5 linked regions of the Oryctolagus cuniculus genome follow. The main gene of each other region encodes a partner of the protein of the gene in region 2 in a complex. Links are inferred from orthologs where the notes say so. Each region holds a gene or a part of one and is shown on either strand. Other genes may lie near its edges. The genes, in order: CBLL1, RBM15, ZC3H13, METTL3 and VIRMA.

Region 1 (4,059 bases), on a different chromosome or scaffold from region 2:
CCTTGCTTCTCTGACTGATCTCAAGCATGCAAAGCAAGCACTCAAGAACTTTAGAAAACTAAAAGGGAAACACAAAACTAACAGCGACAAAAGCAAAAGTAAGTAATGAATCTAAAAATGGAAGCTAGTTTCAAGGAAGGTGATTATTTCCTGAAGTGTAGAAAGCATTCAAGAACACAGCAAAAATTCTTATAGCACTGAGTAACACAAACATGTTAAAATGTATTTGTGCTGTAACATTTCTAGGGATATATATGGGACTGAGTTACTCTTAGTATTGAATGGGAAATTATAATTTTAGGAGGGAGCAAGCTTTCTGGACTTCAACTAGGTCTAAACAAGTGACAGTTTTTTATTAAATGACTTGTCACTTCCTGAAGTCTCTGCTTGCGTTTTACCCATGAAATAAATTCCCATGTTCCTTGACCAATAGGAGCATCAGTCACGGAACCAACTCCATGGTAAGCATTAAGTGTTGCCTTTTTTCAGGTACATAAAAAGATACAATACAGGAAAGAAAAAAAAAAGTTGCTGTAGACAGATAACAGTTTAACACTGCCCATCAGATACTAAAAAGTTTCTTAATGGTTTTGCCTTTGTGAGTGATGAAAATACCAACACCTATTACTTTTACTTTTTCCCACCACCCTGAACACCAACGTTGCCTCCCACTTTCAAAAGCCTGCTGTCGCTTTTAACACTTTGCTGTTTGCCTCACACAGTACACGTTCATAAAGCATTTTGTAGTGAACAACAACACTCTTGGTTTAAGAATCAGAACATTCACACAACTTCCCTTTTGGAATACAGTAACAGAATATAGGAAGCCCATGACAACAGAAAGTCTGGGTAGTTCTCAGAAAGTGAAAACTAAGGATAATCGACCATTCAAGGTGAATCCATCTTAAACAGGAACACTACTTTTACATCATAAAAAGATTTAGGACTTTATCTTGAAGGAGCCATGAATATTTCAGAGTTTGTTACTTTTACAAAGTGCTAATTCAAGGAATGTAGTTCAAGGAATGAATCAATTGTTAACTAGGAATCTCTGGGAGTAATTTTTCCTGAAAAATTCCATTAGAACACTTTAACTTGACATTTGAGCTTTTCAGCATGATCATTAAATGGGCCATTTTCGTATAATATTCAAGGTGACATCTATTGTCCAGTGGACTTCTTAATCCTTTGATATTAAAACAATCCTTTTGAGATGCCTATGTCTTCAATTAACTGGCACTTCTTTTGCCAATAGCTTTCTTTTCTGATTCAAACGGTGATCAAATTCTTGTTTAGGGGCTTTATGAAGTTTCATCTTTTGCAAGGCTGGTAATTTTGTCTCAATCAACTTGATACTATCTTCTGACATGAAACATCAATGACATTTATTCATGAAGAAATATAAATAGTGTTAAGTAGAAGAGAGATCTGAATAGGAATTACTTTTTTAGTGGTCAGCTCTTCAGCTATTATTTTAAAATGACTACTTCTTCAGGCAGCTCAAACACTAGAACAAATACCCTCTTATTTAATACACCCACCCATACTACAATTTCCTAAAGTAATACACTGCACCGTGGCAGGGACTTGACTCTCAGATGAGAAATACTTTACAAAATTTCCATGCTGGATACTCAACTATCAAAATCTTTTTTGAGTTTCAACTCTACAAAACTTCCAGGCACTGGAGTTCCTGAGAGCCTGCTTCTAGGCTGGTCTTCTGTATAGTCACTCTCAAGGGACTTCACCCATCCATCCACCTCAGGAGTTAAAGGTACTAATCCTCAAATAGCTGTTTTCGGTGGAAATCTTCCCTCTGACCTACTGACATTCCTCTTCCTGTGTCTCATACACATCTCATACTTAGCAAACCAAAATCAAACTTTTGTTCGCAAATTCCCGTGTCCCTCCTTTTAAAAAAACAAAGTTGTTTTCCCCAACTCTGTTAACAGGCACTACCAAGCGACTCAGCCAGAAGCTGAGGCACTTCTCCTTTCTCTCAGATACCTCCAAAATCAATCCACCCGTTCAAGTTCAAGTTCCACCACAAAAATGTCCATTCCATCTGCCTGTTCCTCTTAGTTTCGCTAACCCAATCCTGCAGGCGTGCTGCAGTCCCCTTCTAACCGTGCTATCTTCTATTATTCTCCCTCCTTCTCTCACACTACTCTATATCTATCCGCTTACACGAAAAATCAGATCTTTCCCACGGATTTCAAAGTCCGGAACAACGCAGCCTCTGCCTTCCCTTCCAATCTCACCTCGGGGGCTCTTTTTCCCCTCTTGTTAACCAGGCAACCCCGGAGGCCCTTCCGCTTTTCCTCCCGCTGGAAATGCTCTCCTTCCTCCACGGCTGGATCCTTCTCACACACCAGATCCCAGCGTAAACGCTCCCTCGCCAGAGAGACCCTCTCCGGGCTCCACGGCACCCGCTTATTTACTTCCAAAGCACTCAAGAGGGTGTAAATATTGTTTAAAACAACAACTATTTTGTCTACCTTCCCCACTAGGATAGATCTTCATGAGAAGAGGGTCTCCGTCTCCAGACCAGCAGGTGTCTCTAAGCATCTGACAATACATAAACAACCGCGCGCGCGCACACAGAGACACAATTATACACTTAAGTAGACGGCTGATGACTGCGGGCATCCAATCGGTGCGTTAAGGCAAGAAAATGCCTTTTCCCCGCTACTTGTGATCACGTCGGTATCCGCAACGGAGCACTTACTAACGCCAAGTGCACTCATTCAACATCCCAAACCCAAGAGAAAGCCAAAGGCAAAAAAAAAAAAAAAAAAAAAAAAAACTTAAACAAAGGGTGGAGCCACTCTTACTTGGAGAAAGGGATGAGAACGCCTTGGCTTTAAGAGCTCCTTTGCAAATGCCCCTAAATGATGCTGAGCAAGGGCCACAGCCCAGGCGCGGGCCATGTTACGGGCTCCGACTGTGATCCCGAAAACTACATCCGACTCCCTTCGGTAACGCCTAGTCCACGAAGGAGCAGAGCGACAATACCGGCAGGAGGTGGCCGCGGCAGCACCCGCCCAAAGCTGCCAGAGACAGCAGGAAGTCTCCAAGCCACCCTCGCCCATCCAGTCCCAACGTAATGAGGCGAATCCAACTCCGGGACTGGCGCTAGCCGCCCGAGCCCCATAACGCAGGGCCGAGCAGCAAGCCTGAGAAAGAAGGGGGAAAAAGCCAGCACGCTTCCCTCCCCACCAAGCCGGAGCCGCCCGCAGTGCCGACGCGGAGCTCAGCAGAACAAGAGGCTGCTGCCGGTACCGAGGATGTAGGTACCACACGGGAAGGGTAGGCCGGGGAGCAGCAGGGCCCCGCCGGGCCCGGGAAGGGGTCTGTGGGGTTTGTTTCCCACCGCCACCCTCCACTGCTAGGGGGCGAGAGGAATCCCTTTCGCCCGCCGGACGACCAGTCCCAGGCCGGCCAAGGGGGCATGAAACAGGGACCCCCACTGCCTCCGCCTCCTTACCAGTGTGATCCATGATTCGGCTCGCGGGGCACAGTGGGAGCGGAAGTCGGCCGCGCCGGAGTCGCAGCGAGCGCGTGCGCGCTGCCTTCCGGGCCCGCGGGGCGGAAGTGCGAGCAGGTAGCCCAGGCTCTGGCCTGCAGGGACTTCCTTCTCTCGCCTCCCTCTACCGCGCTCCGGTGAGGAGGCCGGGCATAGTACGGGGAGAGCTCCGCTGCCGAGGGTGCCAAGGCTTCCCCTCGCGTGTGCCTCTACAGGAAGTGGCCTTTAAGTGTGGAAACAGGACAGCGACGGGGCCGAGGCTCGGGGGCGGGGAGTGGGAACGGTAATAGGTGAAGGCGGAAGCTCGCGGCAGGTGAGGCGGCGGCCCGCCCCCCCGTGCAGCGAGGCCTTCTGGGGCTTGTAGTGCGCGGGGGACGTGGAGTCGGCCGGGCCCACCGCGCAGTCTCGGCCGTTGGGCCGGCCCCACCCCGGCGGGCGGAGTAACGGTTTGGAATCCCCCACCCCACCCCTCCCACTCCATGCCCCGGTTCCGCAGCGGCGGTCGGTGTCCCGCACCGGGTGTGGACCCAGTG
Region 2 (3,513 bases):
TCCCATTCATTTCAATTGAGTTCTCCCCCCCAAAAAAATTAATGTAATTTTAAAAAGAAAAAATTGGTTGTTACAAAGAACATCCAATGTTGAGATTATGAAATTCTGGCTAATGAAGATTAGAACCATGTTTAGACAACTGCTTTCATTCAAATTCTGAATGTTTAAGTAAATAGTTTACAGATATTATAAATCTGCACAACAGAATGGGCAACACAAATAAAAGATTCATCTGGATGATGGCACTCTGCAGGTAAGCACCAAACTAACATAATTAGTTTCTTATACATACATTTAGAAATGGTATCAAGTCATTGTTTCAAAACATTGAAGCACAATTGCCCAGGTCTAACCAAAGCAGCAATGTCAGATACGAATTTAAACAAACATGAGGGGAAAAAAACCACAGTACTCTTCAGTAAGCTGTCACACCAACTTTAAAAAAAAAAAAGAGATAAACCACACACGTTTTGGACTATAGTAATATTACATTTCATGGACTTCACTCTCTGAAAGAGCAAAATCATTTGTCTGCTACCATATGGAAAGATATCCAAAAGTTAATGGTTAGTGAGATATTTAAACTGGAAAAATGTATCTAGCCACAAATTGTACTTTGATCCCATGTATGCAGACTACTTGCATTAGTTTCTGAACAGGTGTCTACTTCATGCCAAGTACTGCTTTCTGAAAGAAAAAGCACCAAAACCTACTTGTAGGATATCAGACATTTTTCCTAAAGCGCACATCAAGGACTTCTGTGCTCATAGCCTAGTACCTTCCTACCTTCCTTCTCTCAAAATGGCTAGTTTTTCCAGTTTAAAAACAAACAAAAAAAACCTAAAAAAAATCATAAATGCATAGATAACCAAAAAGAATGACACAGTAGTGATGAGGCTTTCATGCTGACATGCATTAGACACCTGTCATAATGGAAAATAAAAATTATATGACATTTCCCTGGGTTATTATTGGTGCTATTTCAAAACTACCAGCTTTGATAACAGAAAGAACAGTTGGGTTCTGCCAGGCTTTGAATAAGTCACTTTCACAGAATAGAAACATGACCATGATCCAGGAGGTCCGAGAGCTTCTAATCATAATTAAATATCAAGGGCCTGAGTCAAAGGTCTCAACATTTATATCAAAAGAGAAAAATATACTTACTAATGACCTGAGAAAGTAAAGGCTGTGGTAGAAGGGGGGGGGGGGGATCATTACTGTTAAGCAACAAAACCCCTTGTTAAGAACCAGAAGGTGATACCATCATCAGCTTTGAAAAAATTTTCTCAAAAAAAATTCTGTATTAATTCCAAGTGTCTGGGAAAATAAAACAATAACAAAGGGTTTTCCCACATTGACATTTCAAATCTGTGGCTGGACAGCAGTGAAAATTTTAAGCATGAAATTCCAAAAACTTTCAATAATGTTATGTAATCACTGGGCAAATATGAAAATAAAAATGCAAGCAAAATTTAAAAGACCACGACTTAAAAAAAAGATTCTGCAATCCAGATATGGCTGATTAATGCCCACTGAAACAGAAGATGACTTACGAGCCTGCAGACAACTCTTCTTTCTATTACTGAAACCAGAAATTTGAATGGATACAAAAACACTCATCTTTGATGAAGAACACTTAGTTTTGAAATATGCACAATTAGAATTATACCTGCTATACCTCTCTGAAAAAGTCAGTAAAAACACAACCACACACCAATAACTGACCAAAGAACTCTGATTTTAAAAGCACCTACTCACTTCTTGCATACTATTGTAAGCATAAGACACCAATGGTTTGTAACATAGTCCTCAACTTTTACTGAACAGTTAGTTACAGCTACAAACCAAAAGTGCATATAGGGGATACAGAACTCAACAACTAATGATAAAAATGCATGGTAAAGCAATTCTCTGGGAATAACTTGTATTTTAAGAGAAATACTCAAATACCTGATTTAAATAATTATATTGCTACACATTTACTAGCATAAACTTTTGGGTTCCCTGATCAAATTTTAGTCACACAACTACTTCTGGTACAGGACTTATTTACTTACATACCAGTCAAGCAGTTTTTAGATATTACCAGCTTAATAGTCAGTGGATTCTTTTCTCCAAATGCCAAACTTTTCAAAATTTTGGTTTTGTAACTTTGAGGACTTTTTTATTTTAAGTTCAAGGTTATAAAAAAAAAAAACTCAAGACAAAGGAAAGAAGTTACTTATAAAGGCAGGAACTCCTAATTAAAGCAAACCAATCTGTCTGCCTGCTACCTTTGTGGTGTCCCTTTCATTTAAAATAATAACTAAACTGTCCTGACTTCTATTTTAAAGAGGTTTATAAAAAATATATAAAAAAAGAAAAAGCTACAACTAAACAACTAATTAAAAAAAAGTTATCTGATGCTGTATCCCATTACACATCACAAAACAGGAACCATGTCAAAGTAGTAAATACAAGATACACATGGACTTTAGGACGCACCACGGACAATGATCATGACCAGGTAATCTTCTTCAGATTTGGCCAGTGCCTTGGCAGGGGAATCCAGGAACTGCTGGGAGAACTCACAGGGTGGGAAGGCATGAAGAACCCCGGTGTTTTCTTTGTCTTTGTTCCCCCCAACAGGGAGGCTGATCACCCCAGCTGCCTGCTTTTGCTTTAAATAGGACACAAGGTTCCTAAGTGGCCTCTGAGTAGAGGTGGCAGTGTCTGTCGTGGCTGAGGAAGAGGAGGACCGGCTTTCAGAACTTCCAGGCACAGCCAGAAGAATGGCGTAACCATTGGGCCCTGCCACTTTGATGCGTCGAGTTACTTCATCCAACTTGGGCTGGTCCAAACGGAGACGCTGAGTGATCTTGAGCTGGGCCACTTTGCCTCCAGTTGAGCCCTCCACAAGAAGACTACTGGCCACTTGGAGGTCACCCTGCAACAGATGCATGTTGGAAGGAAAGTTGCTGTTCTTCAGTAGAAGCATCCCTTGCCAGGCCAAACAGAGTTTCGGAGAAGCAGCTGCCGCAGGGGCGGTCCCCCCATCCTGTTTCTGGGAAGGGGACTTCAGCTTTGATGAAGCAGTGCTGGTACTGGGTGCGCTCCCATCAGGTCGGTCTTCCTTTTTCAGAGGGCTTTTTCCCTCGGTGGGAGCAGCTGTCCGGTGCTTCCTATCCCGTTCAGCTGATGCAGAGTTTTTACGGTCTCGCTTGTCACCCTGGCTCTTCTCCAAACTGCCCCGTCTGTCTCTGATTGGAGAGGGCCTTTCCAGGAGAAGGAGACGGGAAGATCGGTCATTGTCACTGTTGTAACGGTCTCGGCTACTGCTCAATTCTGGACTGCGGTCAGGAGAAGGAGCACAGTGCCGTTTCCGTGGTCGGTCACTCTCAGGGGACCTGTCCAGATGCCGTCCTCCGCCCTCCTCAGGTAGTCTTCGCTTCCTGGGCTGGTCTCTGCTGCTGGGCAGATCTCGATCGCCTCTGTCCCGGTCCAAGGACCAGCCATCCCGCCTGCGATCCA
Region 3 (3,513 bases), on a different chromosome or scaffold from region 2:
GTAAAGCTACCTTCTTCTCTTGCATTTACACCTCTGTGTAAATATCTCTTCAAATTTTCCATTCAAACGCTCAAGTAGATGCCTCTCTTATTCTTTATTCTATCTAGGTCCTTTGTTTTCTTGATAACAATAATCATTTCTCTTTTTATGGGGGGAAGTAGGAGGTGTTTCCTTTTCCATCAGTTTCTTTATAGAAACCCATGGACAAGAACTGTTGTACTCCAAGTACCTAGCAAAGTGCCTAGCATGGGTAGAATATATCACTAGCCTCAAAAATATATTGCTATATTTTGATCATTCAACTGATATTTACTGAAGTAGTTAAAGAGAACTAGATCCGTTGTCAGAAGACCTGAGTTTGAATCCAGTTCTGGAACTAACTTCAATTAAATCTAATTGTCTAAGCTGTGAAACATGGATTACTTTATAATACCTATACTTATTGGGATATTGTAAAAGTTAAGTCACAGAATATATGTAAAACAACTACTGAACTTCTCGGCACCTAGGTTGAATTAAATAGAGGAATAAAACCAAATGTTACTACCGAATTGAGGCATGAATTCAGAGAAACCTGTTCTAGGATAAGAAAATAGAAAAAAAGGAAGAAAAGTAATATACATACAACACACACACACACAAACACACACACACACATATATATACACATAAATAAAGCATTACCAGGATGCAGTATTAAAGAGAGATAAATCAAATGCTGGAAGAAATAATTTCAGATATTAACACTGAATAAACTTTACCCCTACTTATAACTGGGGAAGTCCTCACCTTTTTAAACCCAAATGCAGTTGGCTTACCTTAATGAACTTAACCCAACCGACTGTCCTATCTCTGATCTTCTCTATTCTCTCAAGTATATATGGTGTCTTAGAAACTTGGTTTTACTCCTATTACTACCCACATCAAGATATAGTTTTATCTTTTTGATTCAGCCCACACTAAAAGCATCAACATTCAATTTCCTGCTCCATCAAGTTTCATACTATTCAAAGTTCAGTATTATAGTGAATCTTACTTCAGAAATCAGCCAAGGTTAGAAAGACTTTGATAAGACTGATTTTAAATGTTTAAATACAGACAATACAAACTTTTCAAAGAAAATTCTTAGAATAAAGTGTTTCCTAGCAATCTTACTTCAAAAGTTACTTTTATAAGATTATCTAATAGATAAACAGAAAACTTTTAGCTTAACACATACAAGAATACAAAATTATATATTCTCAGGCCAGAATATGAGTAAAATGTTTCTCGAACAATCCCTAGCCTTGCTCTTCTCTGGTAGCCCATAAAATACTCTATTGTTCATGGCTAAAAAGAGAGTAGCCAGGATAATACTCATGAGAAGGCTTCCATTATTTCCTGAATTGCCTGGGATGGCATCTTGAAAGGGTTGTGAGCTACCCAGTTAGGATGGCAGACACACAGCAGGACAGCACAGTTCTTGTACTCTGCTGCTGGTAGTTACAGGTAGCTAGCTACTTACATAAACCTTCCTAAACTAATGAACAAAGAGTATAAGAGTTTCAATCAAACATTGTCATCAAGCTTAGTCTTAAAATATACTTTATATTAAAAAGCAAATTGGTAACTTTTAAAAAGCAATCCTCAATTTAATGTTGGTACTATTTAATAAAATTTTGTTTGACAAACCTCTTTCTCGGTTGTCACGCCGGTCTCTCTCTCCATGTCTTCTCTCAAAAGAAGAATCCCTTGCTTGATCTCTGTTGTCTCTTTCAGGGTATCTGTCTCTTTCAGGATAGCTACTTCGAGTTTCCCAGTTGTCATGATAGTTGCTATTACTACTGTGACTATCAATTTGAGAACCTCTTGTGCCTCGGCTTCCTAAACAAAGGATATTCATACAGTTGTTTAACACAGAACACTTTATTCAACAAGTTTCATCAGTCACAATCTTTCCTCCTAGAAAACACTAATTTGCTTTGGTATTCCAAGTGCGGTAATCACTGTTGAAAAGAATATTAAGCACCGCTGAGAACACACAGCTCTGCTATGACTGACTTGAGGAAGCTAAGTTCCAGTTTTCTCCATCTATAAAAAAAGTAATAATGGAATCGGAAAGCAAGAAGACTCATTTAAAATACCCCCAGAACAACAAAACAAAAATTTAAAAATGCTTCTTCATATCTCATCCACAGAAACCACATGAAAATAATGAGAAATATGGATATGTAGTATTGACTCAATCACAGTTTATACTGAAAGCACTCGAATATAGAATGACGAAAGTAATTTGGCAACATTAAATGTATCTAAACATTTTTATTAAAAGATGTGGGAAATTGGGGCCAGTGTGGTGGCATAGTGGGTAAAGTCACTGCCTGCAACGCCAGCGTCCCATGTGGGTGCCAGTTTGTGTCCTGGCCGCTTCACTTGCAATCCAGTTCTCTGTTGATGGCTTGTGGGGCAGAGGAGGATGGCACAGGTGTTTGGGCCTGTCACTCATGTGGGAGACCTGGATGAAGTTCCTGGCAATGACCTGGTCCAGCCCTGTCCACTCTGGCCATGTGGGGAGTGAATGAGCAGTTGGAAGGTATCTCTGTAACTCTTTCAAATAAATAAATAAATCTTAAAGAAAGAAAAAAAAAGATGTGAGAAATGAATGTTCATGGTAGCTTTATTTCTGCTAGCCAAAAACTGCAAAGTATTCAATTATCTTTCAATGGGTGAATGAATAAACAAATCATGATACATTTATATAACGGAGTCCTATGCAGCAGTAACAAGGAAGACTCTACTGATACATGCAACAACTTGGATGAACTTCAAGAAAATTATGCTGAATGAAAAAGCCCATCTCAGCAGTATACTTGCTGTATGATTCCACTTAGGAAACAGTCCTGAAATAACATAATCTTAAGATGCAGGACATATTAGAGATTGCCAGGGGTCTGTGATAGAAGAGGGGATGGATGTAGTAACACCAGCAAATCTTATGATGTTACAATTAAATATCTGATTGTAGGGCTAATACCAGGCTACATATGTGATAAAACTGCCTAGAGCTAAATACACATGCACACACAAAAAATATATATAACTGTAAAACCTGAATGAGATCTATAGAGTACAGCAGTGTTAATTTCTTGGTTTTGATGGCATACTCTAGATGTGTAAGATGTTATCACTGGGAAAGCAGAGAACAGTACACTGAGCTTCCTTGTACATTTCATTCCAATCTCCTATGAATCCTTAATTACTTGGAAAAAAAACTGTTCTCTTAAATTTCTGGAGTATGGGAGGTAAGGGTAAGGGGAAAGAAGCAAAACAGGGGCTGTCATAACCTAGGAAAGCCAGCAAAAATAAAGGCAAGAACTCTGGTGAACTCTGTCCTCAACCCCTTAAAGTTACTATAGATAAATCCTTATGAAGATGAATTCACTCCAAACTCAAAAAGAATACATGAGAAACCTACCCACCTACAGTAAGAATAGGAAGGTACATCTCCAAGGGTAAAAATAAAACCAAAAAACA
Region 4 (4,267 bases), on a different chromosome or scaffold from region 2:
TCAGAATCTCCCATGCGGGTGCCATCTTCTACTGCTTTCCCAGGCCATAGCAGAGAGCTGGATCAGAAGTGGAGCAGCTGGGACTCCCAGTGCCCATACAGGATGTCGGCACTGCAGGTGGCGGCTTTACCCACTCCACCACAGTGCCAGCCCCGATCTGCTAAATCTTAAGGAGATACTCTTTCACCAGCTCAACTGATAACAGTCGTGTGTTTCGCTTAGTCAAAGAGGTGTGGTAGGGCAAGCATTTGGAGAAGTAAGACACTAGTTGGCACATCCACAACCCATGTCCGAGTGCCTGAGTTCAAGTCCTGGCTCTGCTCCCAATTCAAGCTACCTGCTAATCTGTGCCCGGGGAGGCAGCAGATGATGGCTCAGATACTACTCCCTACTACAAATATGGGAGACTTAGACTGGGCTCCTGTCTTAGGCCTGGCCTGCACTAGCCATTACCCCAGCAGGTGGCTGTTTGCTGTCTGTCTCTACTTCTCAAAAAATTTTTTTATTTAAAAAAATAAAAGATGATGTATGCACAGGTCATGGAATCACTAAGGGGGTCTGGATGAGGAGTTTTAGAGTAACTCCCTCAGCTAAAAATATGTAAGAAATATAAGGGACAATTACTATTTATCGTACTTGGAAGACCATAAACAAAATTCCCACATCAAGCTAGACTGTGACTATTACAATCTCTTACGATTCAGAAATCCCACAAGTGTAATAAATTTGAACCAGAATACTCCTGTGGTATAACTAGAGTAAAATATTTACAGCAGCCCAGGCTGGACCAGGCAGAAGCCAGGAGCCAGAAACTCAATCTGGGTCTCCCACATGGATGACAGGGACACATCCACCTGAGCTAGCACCTGCTGCTTCCCAAGGTGTATATAAGTAGGAAGCTGGAATGGGAGTGAAGCTGGGACTCCAGCCAGGATTCCGAATCAGGCACTCCGGTAAGGGGCACAGGCAGCCCAAGCAGTGTCTTAACCACTGAGCCAAAGGCCTGCCCCGCTGCTATTTTTAACGCATGCTTTTTCAGAAAACAAGGTTTTTCAAAAACATACATATAAATGATATGCCTGTAATCAGACTTCCAATCCTGTTTTTGAAATAACTGACAAGATACTTCCAGTAACTGAAGTCTATGGTAAACTAGGAGTCACTTGTTTATGATGAAGGTGGAATGATTATGTTTTCTATATAAAATTGAGATGCATAAAAGAAACAGGGGAAACCAACAGATAGGAAGCAAGACAAAGCCAAAGAAAATTGTATCTACAAAAAGCCAGATTTGAATTTTATAAAAAAAGAAAATTCTCCTTCTTGGGTAATTCAAACTGTGCAATGCTTGACCATCACTTATTCCCTGATCATATAACTTAGATTTTTTCCTCCACTATCCTGCCTTCTTAACTCCAAAATTACTTAAGTTCTATATAGTAATCAAGGCCGAATTTAACTGCCAACTCCCCCATGATAACTTCACTGACTACACCAGCTTTTATTATTAATCTCCATTGTATTAATCACGGACTCAATCACTTGCTATCCTACATATACCCTATTTCTGACTTTAAGCATCTATCCTTGATTCCCAGCTAAACCCTACAGTCCTTGAGGGGCAGGGACAATGTCTCCCTTATTTGTGTCTAACTAGACTCCCGAACACTGCAGATACTCAGTAAGTTATTAACTATGGTGTGAGAATCCTGCCAGTGTATCTTCTAGTTCCAGGCACCAGAATATGCGCACAGGAACCGAATTAGATCAAGACAAGATTGACAATGGAAGCCGATGACTCTGATAAACACTGGCACAAGTTAGTACAAGAGTGATATTCACTATCCTTGCAGAGTTCTGTAATTGATTTGCCTTACATAATTGGCAAATCAATAATTGGTTTGTGCAGACGGATAGGGTAGGACTTGTCAATCTTAAAAAAAAAAAAGTTCCTTCAGGTTTTTGTTTTTTTTTTTACTTTTTTTTTTTCCTTCAGGTTTTATAGCTGTAACTGGGGTGGTGGTGGAGAAAGAAGGGACAGTTTAAAAACTAAGCAAGTGTTTTCAAAGTCTTGCTAAGTATGTGTGAGTGGCTACGTCCACGCGTTTCCCCATTCATTGAGCGACACGAGCGGGCCACTAAAATCATCTCTGTGGGCAATCGCAATCGCAAAGACAGGACCACTAGAAAGCAGCCGCTGGAACTACGTATAAAAACGCGTCAAGGCAGCAAGGGAGCAGGAGGATCGCGGGCCCGGGGCTCAGAGGCCGCACAAAGGCGACGTTCTCGCCGGCTGAGGGCAGGGCCTGGGGTCGCGGATGCGGCTCCGGTGTAACGCCGTGTGAGGCAGCTGCAATGGGGCAGCTGCAAGGGCCGCGAGCTAACCCACAGGAGGGCGAAGGTCTCTGCTACTGAGGAGCGGACGCCTTCGCGAGATGGAAACGCCCACGACTCGGGAGTGTCGGTTTCTCCAAGGACCCCGCCCGCCCTCCCAGGCTGAGCCTCGGCCCCTACAGACCCCCGCCTCACCCAAATGCCCCGAGTCCTGCTTTCGCCTCCGCTGCAGCCTCTCCCGCAGCGAGTCCAGCTGCTTCTTGTGGGCTTGGATAGAGCTCCACGTGTCCGACATCCTACTCTCCCCGCGCGGGCGCGTCTCGAATCAGGCGCGGCGGACTAGCACCTCCCAGGCCTAGCTCCAGGTGTCCAGTTCTCTCGGGGCCACCGGAAGGCTACCCGGAAAGGATCCCGGGAGAGGCGCGAGAATGAAAAGTCACTTCCGGTCTCGCGCGCTAGCTCGGAAGCGAAAACGAGAGCCACCGTAGGGGTTGCTAGAATGACGGATTCGTTCCGGGCCTGATGAGGTTGCGGCGGCCATGTTGGTGCCTGGCAGAGCGGCCATGTTGCTTACAGACGCGCATGCGGCCATGTTGAATATTTAAGAGGAGTCCTGAACCCGGTGTAAGAGAGCGCTCCTTGACCGAAGTTTTAAAACGAAAGGTCACTAGCTCATTTTGACAGTTTGGTACTGACGGGCGTTTTCCACTAAAGGTGCTGTAGATTTTTGTTTCCCTGCGTTCAATTGAAAAATAAAATTGCGGGCTCAGGATGCATGCAAGCTCCCTTAGGGAGGAAGGCTAGTAGAAAAGCAGTATAATAAGGGGTCTTCCAATACGTAGTCTCACTTTTATTAACCAAATGTACAGGTATCACGTATAATTGATTAAAATGGGGTCCGCACAATGGGTCACTCCAGATAATTTTTGAGATTCTGGTTGCACTGTTTCTTAGTGGAACTGGTTGGATGAGTGTATCAGCTTGTGAAAATTAGGGGGGCCGACGCTGCGGCTTAGCGGATAAAGCCGCCGCCTGCAGTGCCAGCATCCCATCTGGGCGCTGGTTCAAGTTCTGGATGCTCCACTTCCAATCCAGAGCCCTGCTATGGCCTGGGAAAGCAGAAGATGGCCCAAGTCCTTGGGCCCCTGCAGCCACGTGGGAGACCCAGAGGAAGCTCCTGGCTCCTGGCTTCGGATCGGTGCAGCTCTGGTGTTGCAGCCAATTGGAGAGTGAACCAGCGGATGGAAGACCTCTACCTCTCCTCTCTCTGTATAACTCTTTCAAATAAATAAATAAATCTTTAAAAAAAAAAAAAAAAACACACATGGGCCGGCGCTGGGGCTCACTAGGCTAATCCTCTGCTTGCGGCTCCGGCACACCGGGTTCTAGTCCCGGTCGGGGTGCCGGATTCTGTCCCGGTTGCCCCTCTTCCAGGCTAGCTCTCTGCTGTGGCCCAGGAAGGCAGTGGAGGATGGCTCCAGTGCTTGGGCCCTGCACCCCATGGGAGACCAGGATAAGTACCTGGCTCCTGCCATCGGATCAGCGCGGTGCGCCAGCCGCGGTGGCCATTGGAGGGTGAACCAACGGCAAAGGAAGCCCTTTCTGTCTGTCTCTCTCACTGTCCACTCTGCCTGTCAAAAAAAAAAAAAAAAAAAAAAAGACACATTTTGGGTGTGCACTTCTCTGTATAGTAACCTTTACAAGTTTGTTTTCAAATTTTTTTTTAATTTTATTAGTTATTTGGAAGGCAGAATGACAGAGAAAGAGAGATCTTCCATCCACTGCCTCATTCCTCAAATGGCAGCAACAGCCAGGGCTGGGCAAGGCTGACTCCGGGAACCTTTAACTCCATTTGGGTCTCACAGGTGGGTGGCAGGAATCTAAGTATTTGAGCCATCATCCAGTGGCTTCCCAGGTGCATTAACAGGAAGCT
Region 5 (4,121 bases), on a different chromosome or scaffold from region 2:
TGGAGGATGACCCAAGTCCTTGGGCCTCTGCACCCGCATGGGAGAACAGGAAGAAGCACCTGGCTCCTGGCTTTGGATCAGTGCAGCGCCAGCAGTAGTGGCCATTTGGGGAGTGAACCAATGGACAGAAGACCTTTCTCTATGTTTCTCTCTCTCACTGTCTGTAACTCTGTCAAATAAATTTTTTAAAAAATTTTTAAAAAAAAACAGAACTCAAGGAGAGGCAGGACAACTAACTACCTTTAAAAAAAATCAGTATTTTATATCATCCATAAAAATCCTACTCCTCCTTAAAGACTCCATTCAAATGTGATCTCTACTAATCTTCCCCAATTAACCCCAGAAGAAGGTATTTACTACCTGCCCTATCCTCTCACGGTCATCAATGTTTGTCTAAGAATGAGTGAAAGAGAAGATTAACATACAATGAGTTATGTCAGTTTTCCTAAACTAGAATAGTACTAAATTAATTTATCATACACCTCTATCATTTTTAACTGTTCTCTATTTCTGTACAACAGGTGTGTTCAAAGTTTCAACTACTGATTGCACTGAGTTTTCTTTTTTTTTTTTTTGGACAGGCTGAATTAGACAGTGAGAGAGAGAGAGAGAGAGAGAGAGGGAGAGAAAGGTCCTCCTTCCATTGTTTCACCCCCAAACGGCCACTACAGCCTCAGGCGCTGCGCCAGGAGCCAGGTGCTTCCTCCTGGTCTCCCATGCGGGTGCAGGGCCCAAGCACTTGGGCCATCCTCCACTGCCTTCCCGGGCCACAGCAGAGAGCTGGACTGAAGAGGAGCAACCGGGACAGAATCCAGCGCCCTAACCGGGACTAGAACCCAGGATGCCAGCGCCACAGGTGGAGGATTAGCCAAGTGAGCCATGGCACTGGCTCCAGTGAGTTTTCTAAAGTCCAGCTGTAATAATTATAGCACTCAGCAAGCAAACAGCCCCATAAAATGTGAGATCATAAGCTAATTCATTTTCACTAAAATATGCTAAGCCACCGTTACCCCAGCTTTTGGCTTTTACAGACCTGTAAGCCACTCATTAAATTAAAAGATCAAGATTGCCAATGTCTTCTTTTGCCAAATAAATATTAAGATACAACCACTGTCCACTAGCATCACTATTTCATAAATTAAAGAATATTTTAAACATTTTTTTCAAATGTTTACTGAGCAACTACATTTTGCTAGATACTGGCCTTGGCGCCGGGTGCTGGGTGTAGTGGGTAAAGCCACCGCCCTCAATGCCAGCATCCCATATGGGCGCCGACTGGAGTCCCGGCTGCTCCACTTCTGACCCAGCTCTCTGCTATGGCCTGGGATAGCAGTAGAGGATGGCCCAAGTCCTTGCGCCCCTGCGCATGGGAGACCCAGAAGAAGCTCCTGGCTCCTGGCTTTAGATTGGCACAGCTTCCGCCGTTTTTGCTGCCAATCGGAGAGTGTACCAGTAGATGGAAGACTTCTCTCTCTCTCTCTCTCTCTCTCTCTCTCTACCTGTCCTCTCTGTATAACTCTGACTTTCAAATAAACAAACAGATACTGTCCTAGGCACTGAAGATATTGATGAGAACAAGAGACAGACTATCCTCATGGAGCTTGATTCAAGAACACACTCTTCATAAAAACTTGACGAACCCGAAGAAAGAAGAGTCCTCAAAGTTGTTGAAATTTACATTAAGATGGGGAGAGGTGAGGCTTTGTCCGTCCCGCCCGCACCCCCAACTTCTCTGAGGACGTCTTTGAAGTTCATTTTTGACCGGCCCTCGGGAATCTTTACTTAGCTTTATTCAATTTACATAGCGCAGAGCCGATCATATGGGTAGGGGCACTCAAGTGATTTGGTCCGGAAAGGTTACTCCACGATCCCCGACCGTAACCACCCCAACGACAACAGCCCCGCTTTCGGACGAGAGCCTCACTGCAGTTCTCTCAACTCTGCCCTCTTCGCAAGCATCCTCCATGCACAGGGCTTCGCGTGAAGCATCTCCTGTCCTAACGTGCGGCATCTTTCCCAGTGGAATGCACTAAACTTCCAGGACAAACTGGACAACGCCACAGCCCTACACCGAATACGACTGTCACACAACTCCCGTTAGGAAAGAGACCTCTGGGGAAAAGCTTTAGACACGCCGGGAACCACGAAGCAGGCGTGAGCAGCTGCTCAGAGTCCCCTCACTGCGTTCAAACACAAGATGCCCAAGACCCCTCACCGCACCCCCGCCAAACGCCGCCCGACGCAAACCCGAGAAACACGATCGCTCTCACAGCAAAAGACAGAAAAAATAAAAATAAAAAGCACCCAGGGCAGCCCAAGACTGGAGCCCAAGCGCAACCAGGGAAAAGGGGATGAAGCCTTGCCTCAGAGGCCGCCCTCCTGTCCCAGTTGGGGGGAGGAGGGGTACGTATGCGAGGGATGAAATCGGCACTCGGCGTGGGGGAAAGCCGAGGACCCCTAACTATTCTGGGGGGTAACGATGCCCAGCTCGACGAGCAGCGTCAGAATCCGGCAGCCAAGCCTTACCTCAGCGCTCGGGTGTTTAAAAGTATCTAAAAATAGCAGCTCCATAGCTGAGTCCACCGCCATGTTTGACGCGGGAGGGGGACGGGGGGAGAACTTCCGGGGCAGCGCTCCAACCTCAGCGACGGCGGCTCGGGAGAGGGAGAAACGGCAGCGCTTCCGGCGACCGACGCGCCAGCGGCCCAAGCCTTGGCCTATCCCTTGGCGTGTTGCTGCCTGCAGTCGCCCGCCCCGCCTACTCCAGCGCGGCGGAGAGCGCCCTGCGAGCGCGGGGAGGGGCGGAAGGAGGCGAGGAGGGGACTATGGCGTCTCCAGAGGGCCAAACCGTGTCGTTCCTCCGCGTTACGGAGCCACGACGGCCTTCGGGTGGCGGAGTACCGAGTCGGCTTTGACGCCGACGGAGACGGCGGAGGGAATGCTGCCAACTCTGGATACCTAGCCCAGCACGACCTCAAGAACAAATGAAAAACCATTCCTGCGCTGGGAGCAGAACATGCAGAGAGCGGGTTGAAAAAACACCTAAGAGAAGAACCTTGTCTCAGCGAACGAAGAGATTTTCTCATCTGTGCAATGCGAAGAAGGCTAAATAGAAATAATTGAAATAAAAGCCAAGGAATTATAAAAGTGAAACGCAATGAACAGTAAGCCTCCTTGTCCTTGAAGCAACTGGAGGTGTATGACGCAAGCCACCTTGGTGGTCTAAGTTGGCACAAACCCCCAGGGCAGCAATGAGGAAATGCCTAGTGAATTACGGGTGCCACCCCTCTTCCAGGAATGTTCTTGCACCCGTGCCAAAAGAAGCAAACATTCAAGAGTGTTCATTGCACACTTTATTGCTGCAGCAAGAACTGGAAATTTAGTGGTCCCGATAGGAAGTAGCAAGTTAACGGTACTGTATGGATGTAATAATAACATAGCAGGTAGAAAAAATGAACTAGCACAAAATTTACTACTTTAGATAATCTTTTTTATTAAGATTGATTTATTTAATTGAAAGGCAGATTTACAGAGACACAGAGAGAATCTTCCAACCACTGGTTCACTCTCCAAATGTCTGCAATGGCAAGTGCTGGGCCGGGCTGGAGCCAGGAGCTTCCTCCAAGTCTCCCACATGGGTACAGGGGCCCAGGCACATGGGCCATCCTCTGCTGCTTTTCCCAGGCACATTAGCAAGGAGCTAGATCAGAGGTGGAGCAGCCAGGACTCCAACCAGCACCCACGTAGGATGCTGACAACTCAGGCAGCGACTTTACTCATTGCACATAACACTAGCCCCATGGGTAACCATAAGAAGGGATTAAACCCAGGCTTAAAAACATTGTAGTATAAAATAAAATGTAGCTCAAAAATGCAAAATCATAAATTTTTAGGGACATTCCTATGTTATAAAATTATTTTAAAAATGTATGGAGGTGGCCGGCGCCGCGGCTCACTAGGCTAATCCTCCGCCTAGCGGCGCCGGCACACCGGGTTCTAGTCCCGGTCGGGGCGCCGGATTCTGTCCCGGTTGCCCCTCTTCCAGGCCAGCCCTCTGCTGTGGCCAGGGAGTGCAGTGGAGGATGGCCCAGGTGCTTGGGCCCTGCATCCCATGGGAGACC

Evidence for each region.
Region 1: RBM15 (region 2) and CBLL1 share a complex: the UniProt entries of both Homo sapiens proteins name them as parts of the WMM complex. The link is inferred for Oryctolagus cuniculus from reciprocal best matches to the Homo sapiens genes RBM15 and CBLL1.
Region 3: RBM15 (region 2) and ZC3H13 share a complex: the UniProt entries of both Homo sapiens proteins name them as parts of the WMM complex. The link is inferred for Oryctolagus cuniculus from reciprocal best matches to the Homo sapiens genes RBM15 and ZC3H13.
Region 4: RBM15 (region 2) and METTL3 share a complex: the UniProt entries of both Homo sapiens proteins name them as parts of the WMM complex. The link is inferred for Oryctolagus cuniculus from reciprocal best matches to the Homo sapiens genes RBM15 and METTL3.
Region 5: RBM15 (region 2) and VIRMA share a complex: the UniProt entries of both Homo sapiens proteins name them as parts of the WMM complex. The link is inferred for Oryctolagus cuniculus from reciprocal best matches to the Homo sapiens genes RBM15 and VIRMA.

Annotation. Positions count from the first base shown.
Region 1 is NC_091434.1:136,465,561-136,469,619, forward strand, and holds the start of CBLL1 (E3 ubiquitin-protein ligase Hakai), read right to left. Parts: upstream 2,802-4,059; 5' UTR 2,650-2,801; coding exon 2,499-2,649; exon of another isoform or gene 2,262-2,498; intron 1-2,261. UniProt on the Homo sapiens protein: E3 ubiquitin-protein ligase that mediates ubiquitination of several tyrosine-phosphorylated Src substrates, including CDH1, CTTN and DOK1. Targets CDH1 for endocytosis and degradation.
Region 2 is NC_091438.1:59,998,481-60,001,993, forward strand, and holds part of RBM15 (RNA-binding protein 15), read right to left. Parts: coding exon 2,488-3,513; intron 1-2,487. UniProt on the Homo sapiens protein: RNA-binding protein that acts as a key regulator of N6-methyladenosine (m6A) methylation of RNAs, thereby regulating different processes, such as hematopoietic cell homeostasis, alternative splicing of mRNAs and X chromosome inactivation mediated by Xist RNA.
Region 3 is NC_091440.1:65,049,250-65,052,762, forward strand, and holds part of ZC3H13 (zinc finger CCCH domain-containing protein 13), read right to left. Parts: intron 1,864-3,513; coding exon 1,672-1,863; intron 1-1,671. UniProt on the Homo sapiens protein: Associated component of the WMM complex, a complex that mediates N6-methyladenosine (m6A) methylation of RNAs, a modification that plays a role in the efficiency of mRNA splicing and RNA processing.
Region 4 is NC_091443.1:53,431,517-53,435,783, reverse strand, and holds the start of METTL3 (N6-adenosine-methyltransferase catalytic subunit), read right to left. Parts: upstream 2,804-4,267; 5' UTR 2,630-2,803; coding exon 2,530-2,629; intron 1-2,529. UniProt on the Homo sapiens protein: The METTL3-METTL14 heterodimer forms a N6-methyltransferase complex that methylates adenosine residues at the N(6) position of some RNAs and regulates various processes such as the circadian clock, differentiation of embryonic and hematopoietic stem cells, cortical neurogenesis, response to DNA damage, differentiation of T-cells and primary miRNA processing.
Region 5 is NC_091437.1:119,962,015-119,966,135, forward strand, and holds the start of VIRMA (protein virilizer homolog), read right to left. Parts: upstream 2,804-4,121; 5' UTR 2,590-2,803; coding exon 2,527-2,589; intron 1-2,526. UniProt on the Homo sapiens protein: Associated component of the WMM complex, a complex that mediates N6-methyladenosine (m6A) methylation of RNAs, a modification that plays a role in the efficiency of mRNA splicing and RNA processing.